Linked DNA regions of Arabidopsis thaliana. The protein of the gene in region 4 interacts with the protein of the main gene of each other region in a pairwise test. Each region holds a gene or a part of one and is shown on either strand. Other genes may lie near its edges. The genes, in order: AT3G43230, PRA1.B2, AT1G14340 and AT1G67865.

Evidence for each region.
Region 1: the proteins of AT1G67865 (region 4) and AT3G43230 interact in a two-hybrid assay, tested with the Arabidopsis thaliana proteins (one large-scale study listed by BioGRID).
Region 2: the proteins of AT1G67865 (region 4) and PRA1.B2 interact in a two-hybrid assay, tested with the Arabidopsis thaliana proteins (one large-scale study listed by BioGRID).
Region 3: the proteins of AT1G67865 (region 4) and AT1G14340 interact in a two-hybrid assay, tested with the Arabidopsis thaliana proteins (one large-scale study listed by BioGRID).

What each region holds. Positions count from the first base shown.
Region 1 is NC_003074.8:15,205,359-15,210,390, reverse strand, and holds AT3G43230 (RING/FYVE/PHD-type zinc finger family protein), read right to left. Parts: upstream 3,025-5,032; 5' UTR 2,881-3,024; intron 2,652-2,880; 5' UTR 2,616-2,651; coding exon 1,740-2,615; intron 1,601-1,739; coding exon 1,400-1,600; intron 1,307-1,399; coding exon 1,111-1,306; intron 977-1,110; coding exon 792-976; 3' UTR 538-791; downstream 1-537. Other genes in the region: AT3G43240 (ARID/BRIGHT DNA-binding domain-containing protein), read left to right, coding at 80-170, 252-359.
Region 2 is NC_003071.7:16,863,887-16,867,448, forward strand, and holds PRA1.B2 (prenylated RAB acceptor 1.B2), read right to left. Parts: upstream 1,702-3,562; 5' UTR 1,490-1,701; coding exon 848-1,489; 3' UTR 560-847; downstream 1-559. Other genes in the region: AT2G40390 (neuronal PAS domain protein), read left to right, coding at 3,499-3,562. UniProt on the Arabidopsis thaliana protein: May be involved in both secretory and endocytic intracellular trafficking in the endosomal/prevacuolar compartments.
Region 3 is NC_003070.9:4,895,732-4,899,566, forward strand, and holds AT1G14340 (RNA-binding (RRM/RBD/RNP motifs) family protein), read left to right. Parts: upstream 1-1,614; 5' UTR 1,615-1,719; intron 1,720-1,963; 5' UTR 1,964-1,977; coding exon 1,978-2,096; intron 2,097-2,187; coding exon 2,188-2,263; intron 2,264-2,348; coding exon 2,349-2,462; intron 2,463-2,619; coding exon 2,620-3,045; 3' UTR 3,046-3,304; downstream 3,305-3,835. Other genes in the region: AT1G14345 (NAD(P)-linked oxidoreductase superfamily protein), read left to right, coding at 3,445-3,835.
Region 4 is NC_003070.9:25,445,633-25,449,562, forward strand, and holds AT1G67865 (uncharacterized protein), read right to left. Parts: upstream 1,991-3,930; 5' UTR 1,877-1,990; intron 1,321-1,876; exon of another isoform or gene 1,223-1,320; 5' UTR 1,056-1,222; coding exon 828-1,055; 3' UTR 545-827; downstream 1-544.

The DNA.
Region 1 (5,032 bases), on a different chromosome or scaffold from region 4:
GAACCCTCTCTCTCTCTTGTGTACACGGTTAATAACGCCTTGTTTGTTAACGCGCTTTGGTTTGGTTTGGTTGAAACAGTAGCACAGCTGGTGACTGGGTGAACTGTGGATCATGTGGAGAGTGGGCTCATTTCGGATGTGACAGAAGGCCTGGCCTCGGCGCCTTCAAGGTAACTAAACGAACACATCGTAAACTCGTAATAAGCATCAATGAATAATATGTGTACTGATGCAACATATGATATATACAGGACTATGCAAAAACAGATGGGTTGGAATATGTGTGCCCAAATTGTAGTGTCTCAAATTACAGGAAGAAGTCTCAGAAGACCTCCAACGGTGGCTTGCTTGTACCTTAGCTTTGTACCTTAGGTTCATGTTTCTTCTTTTGTTGTACTTTTGCCTTGGAACCAAATGATTGATTGATTCCTCTAATGTTTCACGAGTTTTTTTGCAATGCAAGGTTTTTTTTCTTTCCATTATCTTTATAATGAATCGGAGAATGTAAAAATAGTGAACGTTATAGATTTTGCATCATATTTAAGGGACTTGCCAATATCATTTTATCTGTAACAAATGAATAGACATGCAAATAGAACCAAGCTTTGATAAACAAGCTTCAAAAAGGTAAACAAGCTTTGATAAAATAAGTAAATCCCAAATCGTTCACACAGTTTGGGGAAGCAACTGTTTGGTTCTAGAGAGAAACAATTTATGTACATTTACACTTTAATAGAAACGAATTTGAGAAGCGTATATATACAAAGCGTAGTTTGTAATGTGAATGGAGATTACGGGCGCAAACGAGCATAGAGCTCTCGGAGGGCGGTGTACAACGGTTCAGCTGCCTTGGGTTGATCCACCATCCCAAGTAGAATGTCCGATGTGGATAGGTATGGATCACCATAGAACTTTACATTCATGTCCCTTCTTGTTGCCACCAGATTTCCTTCTAGAGATACTCCCACAAATGCCCCTGTTCACACAACACAACAACTTCTCTCAGGTTATAGATTTACATTTCAACTTCCTCTGTATTATTGAGCTACGAGTCTGGCCAAATTATAGATAAAGAGAAAACTTAAGGCATGAAGTTGAGATGGGGAAAACCTTTGCTGCGGCTGTAAGTATAGCAGACACCAGAGCCTTTGTCACCAGCTCGAAGGTCAGCCTCCAACACTCTCCCGATAGGCCCTGCTGCTGCACTGCATCCCGCGCCTAGAGAGAAGTGCATTCTGCTGCAGAATGTCTTCACGGCTTTCACATCATGAAGCACTATTATGAAGTCCATCAACTCACCTCCAATCTGACAAAAAGAGTACAAATCTTCTTATGTGGCTATTGAAAACGCATCTTTAACTCTAACATGCATGTCTTGAATGGAAAAGATGAAGTTTACCTGTGCACCCCATCCAAGACCTACTGATAGTATGGCAGATGGAGCAGACCATGACCCGTCTGGTCTCCGAGATATTACCAGACCAGTCCCGAGTTTGTATGACAGTAAAGCCCCAGCCTTGGCAACCGTTATGATTGCCAAACCTTTAGCTCGACTAAGAACAGCATGCGGTATGGATTTCTCAGGGTCTAGTCTTGCTACCTGTGTAATTCGGTAACTAATTAAACAGACACTTACAAACATGGAATGTGCACCGTAACATTTGATACTCAATTTTCTCTACTCGAACATCTCTACAGAACAAATATGTACTTGAAAAAACAAAGGATGAGAATCAAACCTGGCAGTAACCTCTCAACGTATTAGCAGCCTTGTATATCTCATCTTCCATGGATAGACCAACAGGGAGATTCAACCATCCTCTTGAGCAAGTCCAATCAACAACATCATGCTTTGCAACTTGCACAGCATTACTAATAGAGTTAATAAGAACACATTGCAAAGGATCAAGCCTCTCGTAGCAAGAATCACACACTCTCTGAGGATTCCTTTCCCGAAACCGACTAGGCATCAAACACCGCCCTTTCGAACAGTTTCTACAAAATATCCCTCCGCAGAACCGACAATGATGCCTACCACACGTAATTGCAGTAAAAGGAGTAGAACACTGCATGCAAGTACTAGCTAAACTATCAGGTAGCCACTCAGGAGGTTCAGCTTCAAGCAACTCCTTGTAAACACTATAGTTTATCCCACTAGGTTCAAGTAGAGGCGGAGCACTCGGTATGTAAACAGACGAATGAACAAAAGTATCCCCGTTCGTGCCAGAGCCAAGAAACGAAACATTCGAAGACGGGTTTTTCTGATCTAACGGATTCTTATTCCGTCCAGTAACAATAGCAATCAACCCAGTTAAAACGTTTTTCAAGTTAACTTCAGGTTTCTCATTTCCTTGAATCGGCGGCGTCGTCGTTGTAGAGAGCTCGCCGGATGAATCATATCCGTCGTCAACGTAATCTCCTGAGTCGATAATCGGATACTCCACCTCTTTCTTTGTGGGGATTGATTGAACAGACCATTTAGGTCCATCTTCATAACCACCACCACTACCACTACCACTACCATCATCATCATCATCATCATCATCATAATCATCATACTTGAATTTGATGTTTTCTTCAGAATACGGAGAAGCTTTTCCGTTGAGAGTAGCCATGCCTTAAAAAATGAAACTTCACTAAAATTGAAAAATCTGCAAAAGTAGAACATATATTTATATCAAAACGCAGATTTTCGAAGACCTAATCAATCAATCAATCAAAAGTTTCTAATAAAACTACATAACTATTGAAACCCTAATAAAGAAGCCGTAGCTTTGATTTGAATTCGAATCGGAAGACGAGGAATTACAAAAATCACAGAGAATCTTGGGAACTACAAAATCAAAAGATTTAATTTCAGGAATCGATAGGAGAAAATACCTGTGGTTTGATCGCGAAGAAACGAATTAGGTTAAGAAAATTTTGCAAATCCGATTTATGGGATTGAAGAAGAAGATAAGTAGCAAGCAACAAGAACACGGCGCCTCGGGGAATATTTTATTCCATTTATTTCGGTTTTCCGGTAAGCAAGTCATTATAGACTTCGTATATATGTGAGGGCCCAATGGGCCTTGAGCCTTTCAATATTTTTTTGGCTATTGCTTGAAACGATTCAAAAAGTGAATATTTGATAAATTAATTTACTTGGTAATCACTACATGTTTATATACTTATTAGAAAGTTAGAAGTTAGACCATAGTGATATCGGCTCAAGTTCTCTGTCTTTTTTTCATGCGGTCTATCTTTGTAAAGCCATTTTAAGTATGTTTAAGAGGCTGGCCTCTGGTTTCTTGCATGTGTCGTGTGGGGTCGTTTATTGCATGCATGTCGGTATTAGAGCACACATAAAATCCAAACTATTATCTTTATAAACGCTCATCCAAACCCATGTAATTAGGTTATCTAGCAAGTAGTCTCTCACATATATAGTTATGTTTGTGAGCATTGTGATTAACCTAGAGAGTTGTCATTTGGAACAACTCTCCTTCTTCATCATTTTGTGAAATCAAATATAAAGTGTTAGTGTTTTTTGGTGAAAAACCTAAAGCTTCTTTCTTTCTCTTCTTTATATTTCGATAAAAGGTCATTGAGCTATTGTATTTTCAATCTTAGATTTCTATGTTAATAAGCTCATTTGAGCATAAACCATTCATGTTTTAGAAATGTCTTCATGGTATCAGAGCCTAGGCGATTGATTTGGGTCTTATTTTCACAAGCTTCTAGCTTCCGCTCTTCTGGTTTTGCGTTTCTTGGCGTCAGAGCTTGTGAATGAAAACGCCAAGGTGTTGCAAACGTCGCTATTCTCCATTGGATGATGTGAATAGAGAATGCTCCAAACTAAAAGACATTTGCGACAAAGAAGAGGCAAAGTATAAATATCACATATCGTGTTTTCAAGCCCTTTCTATCTCAATCCCATCAAGTAACCACAACAACACTATTCAAGGTAATGAATTTGTCCTTTCATCTGAGACAGAACAAAGGTTATTGATGGGTTGAGAAAAAAAAGAGGGAAACATGGCTAGAGATATAGGGTTAGATCATGAGAGTAGTCATTTGTTTAGTGATTCCGCTGGTGGCTTAGATTTATAGACGTGGAATTTAAGAAGCTAGAATGCAACATAACTTACTTGGGTTTGATAAGGATGTGTTTAAGGGAGCAAGTTTCTGGTTTTGCTGAGCGCATAGAAGCTGTTTGATAAAATGTCAAAGAGAAAAACAGATTGTGTAAATGCAAATTGTGGTTGGCTAAAGAATAAAAAGCAGATAGCAAGTAGGATCTAAGTAGTTGTGGGAAGAGAATTCTTCTTCTTCATGGGACAGCTTAGGGGAGTTAAACCAGATAAAGAAAACTCGGTTTCTTCGTGAGACAAATAGGTCAAAAGAACCTGAAAAGTTGTCACACTAAAGACTGATTTTATGGTGAAGAGATGCTACTATCTACATCCAAGTGATCTTGCTTTGTCTACTCATGCTCTTGTCAAGTCATCTCCATTTGTGCTGACATTTCATTTGAAGTTCAAACTTGTCATGTTGCTTTCGCACCACGCCAAGTTTGCGGAGAAATATTAGAGCACACATAAAGCCCAAGCTATTATCTATATAGAAGCCCATACAAGCACATGTAATTAGGTTATCTAGCAAGTAGTCTCTCATATATATAGTCATGTATTGTGAACATTGTGATTAACCTAGAGAGTTGTCATTTGGAACAACTCTCCTCCTTCACCATTTTATGAAATCAAATCTGAAGTGTTAGTGTTCTTGGTAACAAACCTAAAGCTTCTTCCTTTCTCATCTTTACATTTCAATAAAGCTCATTGAACTATTGTAGTTTTAATCTTAGATTTTTATGTTAATAAGCTCATTTGAGCATAAACCATTCATGTTTTAGAAATGTCTTTAGTCGGGTGTCCTTGAATGAACCAAACTTTGCATTGTTGCTTTGCTGCGTGGATTGATCTTGACCCTGTTATAATAAATAATAATATGAAGGAACCAGCAACGCCATGGAGAACAACCTATTTATCTA
Region 2 (3,562 bases), on a different chromosome or scaffold from region 4:
ATCTTCATGTTTAATGGTTAGTAACTTAGTACCTAAGTGTTGTTTTTATCTCACATTCTCACCAATAATTAGAATCCAGGAAAAGATTTCACAAGACATTCTTAACATTAAAACCAAAGAAAAAAGATTTCACAAGACACAACTCATTCCACGAAAATATATCTCATGTTATGAAGATTAAAAACAGGTCACCTATATTATATCTAAGAAAGAAGCAACTCAGTGAGACTTTGACCGAAAAAGACAATTCAGGTGACCGAATCTTCAGTTTGTTTTTGGCAGCCGAGTTTTTAAGACAAAATCCCCAAACTAAACGTGTGTCGTTTTTGTCAAATTGGCCAAACATGTAAATCCAGTGGGAAACTTTCCCATGATATAACCCTCTTACTATCAGCAAATTCGTACACAGTATTGGCTGTTCGCTTTCGAGATAGAGGAAACTTGTGGAAGAATAAAATAGTTGGTAGCTAGAGAGACATAGACATAACTAGTTACAAGATTTACATCTACCACGTATGTTGTTAAACTACATGTTGTTTGTTTAATCCTTAATACTTTGGTCAAACTATAATCTTCACTGGTTTAGTCTAAATCTAACTCAAACATATGGTGATGAAGGCAAAGAGTATCAAATTGATTTAAGGTAAATGAGATCTTACAATACTTGAGAAGGATCAGCTCCAAATTTTCTAAATTGTGACGAAATTGAAGAATACAACACAACAATGCATCTTTAGATCTAACACTTACAGATCTTCATCGAATCTATACTCAAAACATAACTAAAAACCCTGAGAATCCAGGTTTCGTTTGTTCTCTAGGATCAGAATCATCAAATTCGAGCTTCTCAAACTCGTCCTGCAACAACAGAAGCAGCAGCAGAAGTAGCAGCAGAATTACCAATGAACGAGAGTAAACCAGCATTAGCAGGCTCTTGTTCATCCAAGAACAAATCATCAGGAACCCTAAACGCACCATGTAAGCAAACAATCGCGATTCCAATCGTTAACGCCGATGTTAACAAAGATCCAACACTCGTCATAAACACAACCACAATCGTAGTCAAAACAAGACCAAGCAAAGTCTCACGATCTGAGAAACTACGACCAAAGAGAACCAAAGGCTGATCTGAAGATCGGAAGAGGTAGAGAAACATCCAGGAGCCTAAGAGAGAGAGGAGGACGAGAAGCGAGAATGGATGCGAGAGGAGGGAGAAAGCAAGGACTAACGAGACAATTGCGGAGTAATTGACTTTGAAGTAAGCGAGATTCTTACGGATCCGGGAGAAGGAATCGGTGAGAGAGTCAGGTCTAGCGAAGGAGCTCCGATCTACGAGTTCTAGCCATGGACGGCGTTGAGAGAGGCTTTCGCGGAGAGAGGACGAGAGGCGTGAGAGGAAAGTACGGAAGGCGTGAGAATTGATTGGAGGTTGAGATTGAGTGGCTGCTTGCTGGTTGGTGACGGGAAGAATCGCCGGAGAAGAAGACATTATTGGTGGTGTCGGTGAGTCTGTGCGCGGCGGAGAGAGTGTGAATTTGTTGTTCCGATTTTAGTGGAAACTGAAGTTGCGGCAAAACCGTGTTAGATATTCTAAAGGCCTAAATTTTATGGGCCTATAATGTTTTGGAATAGGCCCAATATATTAAGTTGGAGTTAATAGCAATTTTTAGATGGGTCTATAATGTTGGAAGAGGCCCAATATATTCCACTATTGGTTCATAAAACCATTTTTTTTTTTTCAACAAACAAACAATCTTACTGGTTCAGTGGTTTGTATCTATATGATGTTACAAGGATAACACAACACAAACTAGTAAATTAGTGTAGTTAATAATATTCTAATTTTATTTGCAGATAAATTACGACTTCCTACAATTGTTTATATGATCATTTCAATAATTATCATCTCATTTCCCACCCTATGAGTGTTCTCGTTGAACAAATGAAACAATCATATGATCAATTGATCATGAATGATAAAGGTTTACTAAATATATCTATAAACTGTGAAATTAAATTATATACAAATTATGTACACTTGAAGCTAAACAAATTATGAATTATATACAAATACAAATTATATACATAAATAAATATGAATTATGAGTTATATATGAATTATGGTGTCTTGAGACACCAGGAACTTGGGGCAAAGACAACTGGAGGGAACTCGAGAGCATTTTTAAAGACGCCTATGCAACCGGTGGTGGAGACTACATGAAGAAGGGGGTGCAAGCGATAAAAGATGAGTTTGACATGATTGGGACAATCAAAATGAGATAATGAAAACAAATGGAGGTTTGCGGAACTTGTTCATGTTGAGATGACCGAGATAAATGAGGTTGACGAGAATAACAAGAAGGTAAAGGTAACATGTAGTTACTTTCTCAAATTCGTGGATGGAAACAATAAGATATTCTCACTCAGCCTAGGCAATGTTGAACTCAAACGTTGCACTATCAATTAGTGAACTCCAAATCTACACTATCAATAATGTGTTCTTGTTTTGCTTCGTCTAGCCAATTTATTTGGCATAAACACTTGGTGTTTTAATTTGGTTTTTCTAAAATTCTACTGTTGCTTTATCTAAAACTCTACTTGAGTTTTGTTTTGTTTGGTGTTTGCGTTTGCTTTTTGGAGTGTTTTCTTTTGAACTTTTGCTCAAGTGATTGATTGCTTTTTGGAGTGTTTATCATCGAGTCGTTAGTTATGTAGCCACTATTAATTAGTCGTTTGAAAAGTAGATGAAAATTAAGACTTGAGGAAATCAAACACAATCCATAATTTGAATTCACCCCGAAGATAATGATCAGCTGCTATTGTAATCGTCAGGCTTCAAGTGTATATAATTTATATTTGTATATAATTCATAATTCGTATTTATTTATTTATGTATAATTATTTGAACACACTCCATAATTCGTATTCGTATTTATGTATATACAAACACACTCCATAATTCGTATTTATTTATGTATCAAACATATAATTAGTAAACTAAATAAAGACGAAGAAACATTATTGAGTAGAATAGAGGCATCGAATAACAATATTCGTCGGCCTAATCAAGAATATTTCTTGGAAATTCGGGTTGAAATCCACATATGGAAGAATCTTGAATAGCACGTACTTTATCAATTTAATTACATCCCTCTTAACGGTCTAGCTACTCTAATTATCATCTAAACCTTTTTCCTTGTACGTTATCTCATAATTTGCAGGACTCTTAATCATTATCACATTTCAAATTTTCAATATTTTACTAAAGAGACGTCTCGTGTTCGTGCGTAGCTCTATATTTTCTGGTTTACGTAAAATAGTTCATGATTTTGTTTAGCTTACCTTTTGAAAAAAATAAGCGAATCTTTCTTCCTTTACTTTTCTTCCACTCATTAAAATGTTCTCTCTATATATAAATGATAAATCTAGTCTTCTAATCATATACTCTCTATACCACACATATCTAGAACAACAACTAGATATTCAATATTAGCTCTAATGGCTTCTTGTGACACACCTGATGCGTTTGCTTGGCTTCAAACTCTTCCTCCTCTTTCTCTAT
Region 3 (3,835 bases), about 21 Mb from region 4:
AGGTGAGTTTGATAAAACACGTTGTAGTCTTGTTGTAGATCTCCGAATTGACGTCAACTCAATATCAAAATCTTTCACTATGAAATTCAAAATCCGAATCAAAACGTCTAACCTAGCTATAGAATATATACATTAGTCAATGGTCAACCTTTTATATTTTATTGTTATAATCATATATGGTGAAGATAATTGTATTTGGAGGACCAATATTCAACTATTTCCTGTAATTTAGAACATTTATTTTTTTCTTAAATATATGTTTTTTGCTTATATATAGTCGCAATTTTTAGAAGTTCCATAATCCATATACTTGAACTTCTAAAGCTATAGTCGCAAGCACCTTATTGTTGTTGTTTAATAAAAGTTCTAATTTTGGTAGACAAGTGAAAAAACAAAATTAAACTATCTGGTGTTTACATATATGAAAAATATACATTTCCAGCAGTGAATTTTGGTTTTGCATGAAAAATACATAAATAGCAATTCACTGCAGCAGGGGTCAGAATATAGAAACATGAACCACACACATAAAAAAAAAGTAGATTCTGACTAGATCAATCTGAATTAAAAACTAGTAAATTTTGACAGACGGACGTGGCCGTGGAAAGAAGTAGAAAGAGACAATGAGAGATGGAGAAAGAGAGACGTAAGTATTGATTTGGCCAACGGCTCATATGCAAAGAATATTAATAATAATAATGTTCTTTGCGTTTTTTTACCAATTACATCAAACATTTGTTAGGCACACGTCTTTTCTTTTTCTCCTTTTTAGTTAAGGGCATCTCCATCCATGAAAAACCCACAAAGTTTCTCAAACAAAAAAAAATTAATATTATATTATAATTTGATTTTTTGATTAAAAAAATATTTTTATTAAAAAGTTGAATCAATAATTAAAAGGGAATTATCATGATGGATTGTAGAGAATATCTCAGAGTTTCTCAAGTAAGAAACTTTCTACTCTCTCTCCTTCATTTTTATTATTTTTATTTTTTAATTGTGAGAAACTCTTATAAAAAACCCCCAATGAAAATGGTCTAACTTTCTTTTCCGTTGAATTTCTCTCATGTATTAACAGTAACATAAGTATTTATATCACATACACTTGTCAAATTTGTCTCTTTAGAGATTTTAAAAAGTTATCACTTAGAGAACTTTTACCTGTTTGGACTTTGGACGGTTAGACAGATAATATCTAAAATTACTCCAATTTTTATATATACATGCAATACTAAGGTATAAAAAAGGTTCTAGAATGTTAAAATCGTTGCTGAAAAAAAACAAAATCGTCTATAGATTGTTAATTTTTGCTTCTTGTACAAACACTTAGTAATGATTAATGATTTAATTTTAATATGTAAAGACTGATTTTTAAAATAAAAAATAGCATAAGATGAAAATTTATGTTTCAAAAAATATTTGTGATTATGGGTTGTTTGAGACTGGAAAATAATCAAACAACATTGGGCCTTTCATGTAGAATTTTTTATTACATTTAGAACCGTTAACGATATGGGCTAACTCAAGACATTAAAGGCCCAACATTGAGTTACTAAACGGCGCAGTTTTTAGCTTTTTAAAATTGCGTCTTTTTCGTTCACTGAAAAGGTAGTCCTTCTCTTTCCCACTCACATCATCAACTTCATCAATTCATCACCTTTGTCTCTCTTTCAAGCTTCTCTGTGTGTGATCTCCGTTGGTCAACAACAACTACAACAGGTAACTTCTATTCTTCGATTCCTTAAATTTCTTCTCTAGAGCTTAGTGAATCAACGATTTAGGTCTGAACATATTTGGCAATCTGTCCTTGCTCAAATTTCGCTTGAAAATTTCAATCCCAAATCATGTAAAGCTAAATCGGAAAGTTCTATGTAGTTCCCAAAGTTGAATCACGAACTGGAAGTAATTTAATTTATTGACTTAGGATATGTTGAAATTTTTAGGTTTTTTGTTTTGTTTTTAGCTTATTGAGCAGAGATGGATCATCAATTTGGATATGGTGTTGAAGTTACTGGGTTATCTCCATCTGTTACTCATAATGATCTTATCGATTTCTTCTCTTTCTCTGGTACTATCCAAGATATTGATATTGTCAGGTGAGTCTTTTTACTTTTTAGCAAGTTTGTTGTTTGTTTGCTTATTCTGGATTCAAAAGAGTACACTTTGTAATGTTGTTAATGAGACTAGGTCGGGTGAGCAAGCTTGTACTGCTTATGTGATGTTTAAGGATTCTTATTCTCAAGAAACTGCTGTTTTACTCACTGTAAGTGTTAGTTTGGATTTGATTCACTCTTTCTATCTTTTTTGGATGTCTCTTGAGAAATCACTCACTTCTTTGATATCTTCAGGGCGCAACGATATTGGATCAGCGTGTTTGTATAACTCGTTGGGGACAACATCACGAAGAGTTCGATTTCTGGAATGCGACTTCGCGAGGTTTTGAAGATGAATCGGACTCACAAGTATGTATCGCTTTTGACACTTCTCTCAACTTTGATCTTTCTGTCTTCTTTTTTTGTTAAAATAGTTAAATCTAACGGTCACTGGTTCAGTAGTCTTTATGTTGAAGTTTGATGCTTGGTCTCAATTCTAAAGCTTATTCGTTCTTCAATCATGTAGCATTATGCTCAACGAAGCGAGTTCAACGCTGGAGAAGCAGTGACAAAAGCTCAAGAAGTGGTGAAAATAATGCTTGCCACAGGATTCGTGCTAGGCAAAGACGCTTTAAGCAAAGCTAAAGCCTTTGATGAATCCCACGGCGTATCAGCTGCAGCGGTGGCTAGAGTATCTCAACTAGAACAGAGGATTGGTCTTACTGACAAAATCTTTACCGGACTTGAAGCTGTTAGAATGACTGACCAAAGGTATCATGTTTCAGATACAGCTAAATCAGCTGTCTTTGCCACAGGAAGAACCGCGGCAGCAGCTGCAACTAGTGTTGTCAATAGCAGTTACTTCTCCAGCGGAGCTCTTTGGCTGTCTGGTGCATTAGAGAGAGCTGCTAAAGCCGCATCTGATCTCGGTACCCGCGGCTCAAGGCAGTGAATAGACCAATGGCCCGATTCAGAACCGTATTCGTCTGTGAATATATATGATGCAAAGCTGATCATGAATAACTGGCTCATGAAGTGTGATAAGACCAAATTTTATCAAAACGAATACCATATAGAAATCTATCAAAGTATACTCTCACATGATGATGCTGATATAGAGTTTGGTTACATTACCTACATCTTAACTCTTCATTAGTAGCATAATCTTTTTTCTTATATAATTTCTGATTTATATCATTCTATGGTTGATATTGATTCAATATTTGGATAGATGTTGTATCCATAGAGCTTAGGCCACGTGGCACAATTTGCGCCAAAAAATCAAATCCAAAAAACAGAGAAGTCATCATCTTTTCACTCCAAATCTTCCAGTCACTCAAATCATTCTCTCATGGCAGCTTCTTCCTCAATTCCGCCGTCAACCGCCGTAACCTCCGTCGTTCGCAAATCTCTCCTCCTCTCAACCACCTTCTCCTTCCCCGCTTCTTCATTGTCTCCCTCCACGAAACTACCACAAAGACACATTCAAAGATTGCTCCTAGCTTCCTCCTCCGCATCCGCATCCACCGTTCCTTCCGATTCCAAACCGGCGAAGAAAGAAACAGTCTACTTCGACGGCGGAGCTCATTACGGAGATCTATTAGCCAATCTCATTCTAGGTCTAACCATCCTTTGGCTCCCACTAACCTTAGCTGCAGTGTCTCGAGCTTTTAACCTTCGTTACAGGTTCACTAACCTCCGCGTGACGGTTATTTCGGGACTCACCGGAGATGATCGGAGCG
Region 4 (3,930 bases):
GCCTTATAAAAGTGTAATAATCTAACTATTCAACTTAGACTCCATAACGCTGTAAATTGCAAGAAAACATTTCTATTAGTATTAAGTTCAAGAATTAGTCTAGACTTTGGATTTAGGAAGACTCTGATTATTGGAAAAAAAAAAAACATTGCTTGTGTAAGGTTCGTTTGATTTTTGAGATAAAAGTGTAGACAACTCTATCAATGACATTCATGGAATTCTTCAAGAAATTCGACAGCTTCAAGGTTGTTTCCGTTCTATCTCCTTTAGTTATATTTCTCGTCTTTCCAATTCAAAAGGCAGACGCTGTCGCCAAATATGCTATCTGTGTTTGTGTTTCCCTCAAGAACATTGCATAACTGAAAAGGCTAATCGAATCAACAAAAAATCCTATGATCCGTCTAATTTAGTAAATGAATTACTTGTTTGAATCAAATCTATGAGCTTAAAGTTTTGGTCGATAAATGCAAAATAAATTATCTAATTATTTAGATGAACCAGAAACATTAAAACGACATATCCTACTGCACTACGTAACTTATAAATTCATTAGGGTTTTCGTTACACCATAACGTTACTTTTCAAACTTAATTGTGTGCAAATAAATTCAATCTTTTCACGTGTGGAAATAACTGTTAATATACATCACTTTTATTAAACACACTCCTTTTATTAATCATAAAGTTCATAAAATTAAACAAGAAGACTTTTCATTAAAAGTCTCCTATATTTTTGGTAAGATACTGAAACATGTCCATCTTATACATACATCGTATACATTTATTATTTTGGATACATAATCATTACTGGGTGTGGTCAGGAGTCCTTTACTCCCTGTCTTTCTGGCGGCGGCCGCCGGAGTTCTCGGATGCCTTCACTGCACCGCCATTACCATTGCCGTAGTTTCCCGGACTCGTCATATTGTTGTTCTCGAAGCGACCGGTGCTCTGATAATTATTGGGCCATATCCCGACCCCTTTGGCAAACCCATCGACCGTTCCAAGAATCCCTCCGGTAATCCCTCCGGCAACCCCAATAATAAGCTTATCAAGCATTTTTCTTTATATTTATCTACTTGTGTTAGTTTTCTTTGATATGGATAAGTGTTTTAATCTTTCAGATGTTTTCTATATATAGAAAAAATTTCTTGTATATAGTTCCCTTTTTTATGATCTGAATCTTATTCTCTTAGTACCATCACTACCGAAAGTTGAATAGATATGTTTGTTCTAATTCCGTTCGTCGTTTTTAATAATGATCACATGGGAAAGATCCAAACTAAGGAGGTTTCTGTCTACGGACACGTTTTCTTTAAAAAATCAGACCCTATAGACCCTCAAAAATAGATGTTGTATGTGTATCAACTAATGTTTAGTCCAAAAAGGCATGTTTTGACAGCAATACTAGTAACGAACATTAGAAAAGATGTGTGGATAAGTTTAGTGTAAGGCCCATCTCCTTCGTGGAATGGTCTCTTCAATCGTTATGATGGAAATTGCATCTAATGCTTGCAAAGTTTGAAGAGTCTCTCTTAACCAAGTGATAGCGGATTCTCATTGTTGGTCTAGTCCATGAAAAGAATTTCCTTAAACGTGGAATTATCTAACTATCCCGCTTAGCCACTCGTCGACGCTTTCAGTGGCAATAAAACTCATATTAATACTTGGCTCAGGAATTAGTTTGGACTTCGGTCGACAAAGACCTAGTCCCGATTATTAAAAAAAAAACGTTAATGACAGTGTAAAGTTTATTTTAAAAAACAGATTTCTATGAGGTAAAAGAAGAAAATGTTATTCCCTTTGGAGATTATTCGAAATATCATCGTACGATCATATGAATCTTATTCTCTTTTCTACCACGAAAGTTGAATAGTCATGTTTGTTCTAATTCCGTTCGTCTTTTAAATTAAAGATCAGTCCTATTCATATGGGAACATTTCGGAATTGGCTGAGTATTAATGGAAGCATAATAATGAAACTGGAAATTAAACCTAGTCTAGTTCTATTTATTACGGATTTTATTTGATTTTATATTAAATTTGTTTGAGTTAAAATTTTCATTCATTTTTGGATTTCGACGAAGCGTTGTGTAACTTTTTTTTTTTTTTTTTTGTTCTTTGCTAATAGCCACGTAACGTGCATGACATGAGTAAGCCGGCCACGTTAGCGAAAAGTGGGAAGTAACACAAGAAGTCTAAAGACCATGGGATATTCAATGGTGAGGGTTAAAAAATACCGAGATTAAGTAGGAAGAAGATGAGGAAAGAAGACTTGTGTTAGAATATTGGAGACAAACCAATGATCCTTAGACGAAGCAAAGAAGAGAACCTCCAAGAGAAGTAACGGTGATTGTGGTGACCGTAGGGATTACTTTCAGCTTTGGTAACCATAAGTAAAATGATGATAAATTCAATTTGGATAGAAAAATACACCACTTAAGTAGCATCCCACATCAATCCACGAAACTGAAAAGATCAAAACATTTGCTATTAAAGGAACTATTCCAAAAATTTAGTGAAACGTGCCTAACATAACACATATACAACCGATAATCCGATATGTACTTTGAAAATCGGAGGAAGCCCACCAAATATACCAGAAAGTTGGCTAGATCTCATCAAGTAAATGCAAGATGGTTGTCACCATGATGATGGTGTTAGAAATCATAAAATATGTAAATATTTTTAACATGTTCATCCATCAGTTGAGCCACGGTCAATCTGGGTCGATCCTGACAGCCCTATAACTCGGAAGATAGCTTGGTTCGCTGTCCATGTCAGGTGTCAGGTTAATAATCATTGGATCAGGCTGAATTGGATATCTTTCTATTATTTCTTCTTTCTTATTCCAGGTTTGGGCCAAATGTTCTTGGAAGATTAAAACTAGAGACGCACGGTTCAATATATATTCAACAAGTAGAAGGAAAAATAACTTTGTAAAATATAAAGAGGTGGGCCAATGGGTTTAGAGGAGAGTTGCCAACGTATATATTCCCATATAAAGAAAGAGAGAACGGTAAACGATAACTACTATTGGTTATTCAGTCGAACTAGATGCCTTTAATAATTGATCAAATTGGCGTGTTTTGACCGCAACATTATCAAAGAACATACGAAAATATGCGTGGATATGGTCAATGTTAGGTTCATCTCCGTTGTGCAATGGCCTCCCTCTTCAATCGTTACGATGGAAATTGCTTCTAATGCGCAAATTTTAGAGTCTCTCTTAACCAAGTGGCGGTTTTGTGTTGTTGAGGATTCATTTTATGGGTCTAAAAAAATAATAAAAATCGCCTCAAACGTGAACTTATCTAACTTTCTTGCTTAGCCATCCGTCATCTCGAAACTCATATTTTTATTGGACTCAGGAATAGACTTGGTCTAAAAAGACCAGATTATAAAATGTAATTAAAAATCATTATTGACAATGTAGAAGTTCATTTTTTTAATCAACAGTTTTTTTTTTTTGATTAAACGATGTAAAGTTTTTTTTCTTCACAGTGTAAAACATTAGTTATTACAAACGGAATCCAAGAATGTGAAGTTTATTTTAAAACAGATGTTTTTTTTCTTTTTTTTTTGGAGGTGAAAGAAGTTATAAATTACTTATAAGTTATAAATTCACTACTGCACCACTTACTTATAGGTTATAAATTCACTAGGGTTTTTATTACACCACAATGTTACTTTTAACTTAATTTTGTGCAATATAATCACCCCTTCCACGTGGGGAAATCAACTGATAATATACATCACTTTTATTAAACATAAGCAGCAACAACAACACTCTTTAGAAATCATAAGGTCATCAAACGAAAGCACTTTTTTGGGATAAAAGCCACCTATTTAGTTTTGGTACGATACAGAAACATGTCCATCACACACATACATCTTATAAATGTATTATTTGGGTACATAATCATTACTTTCTT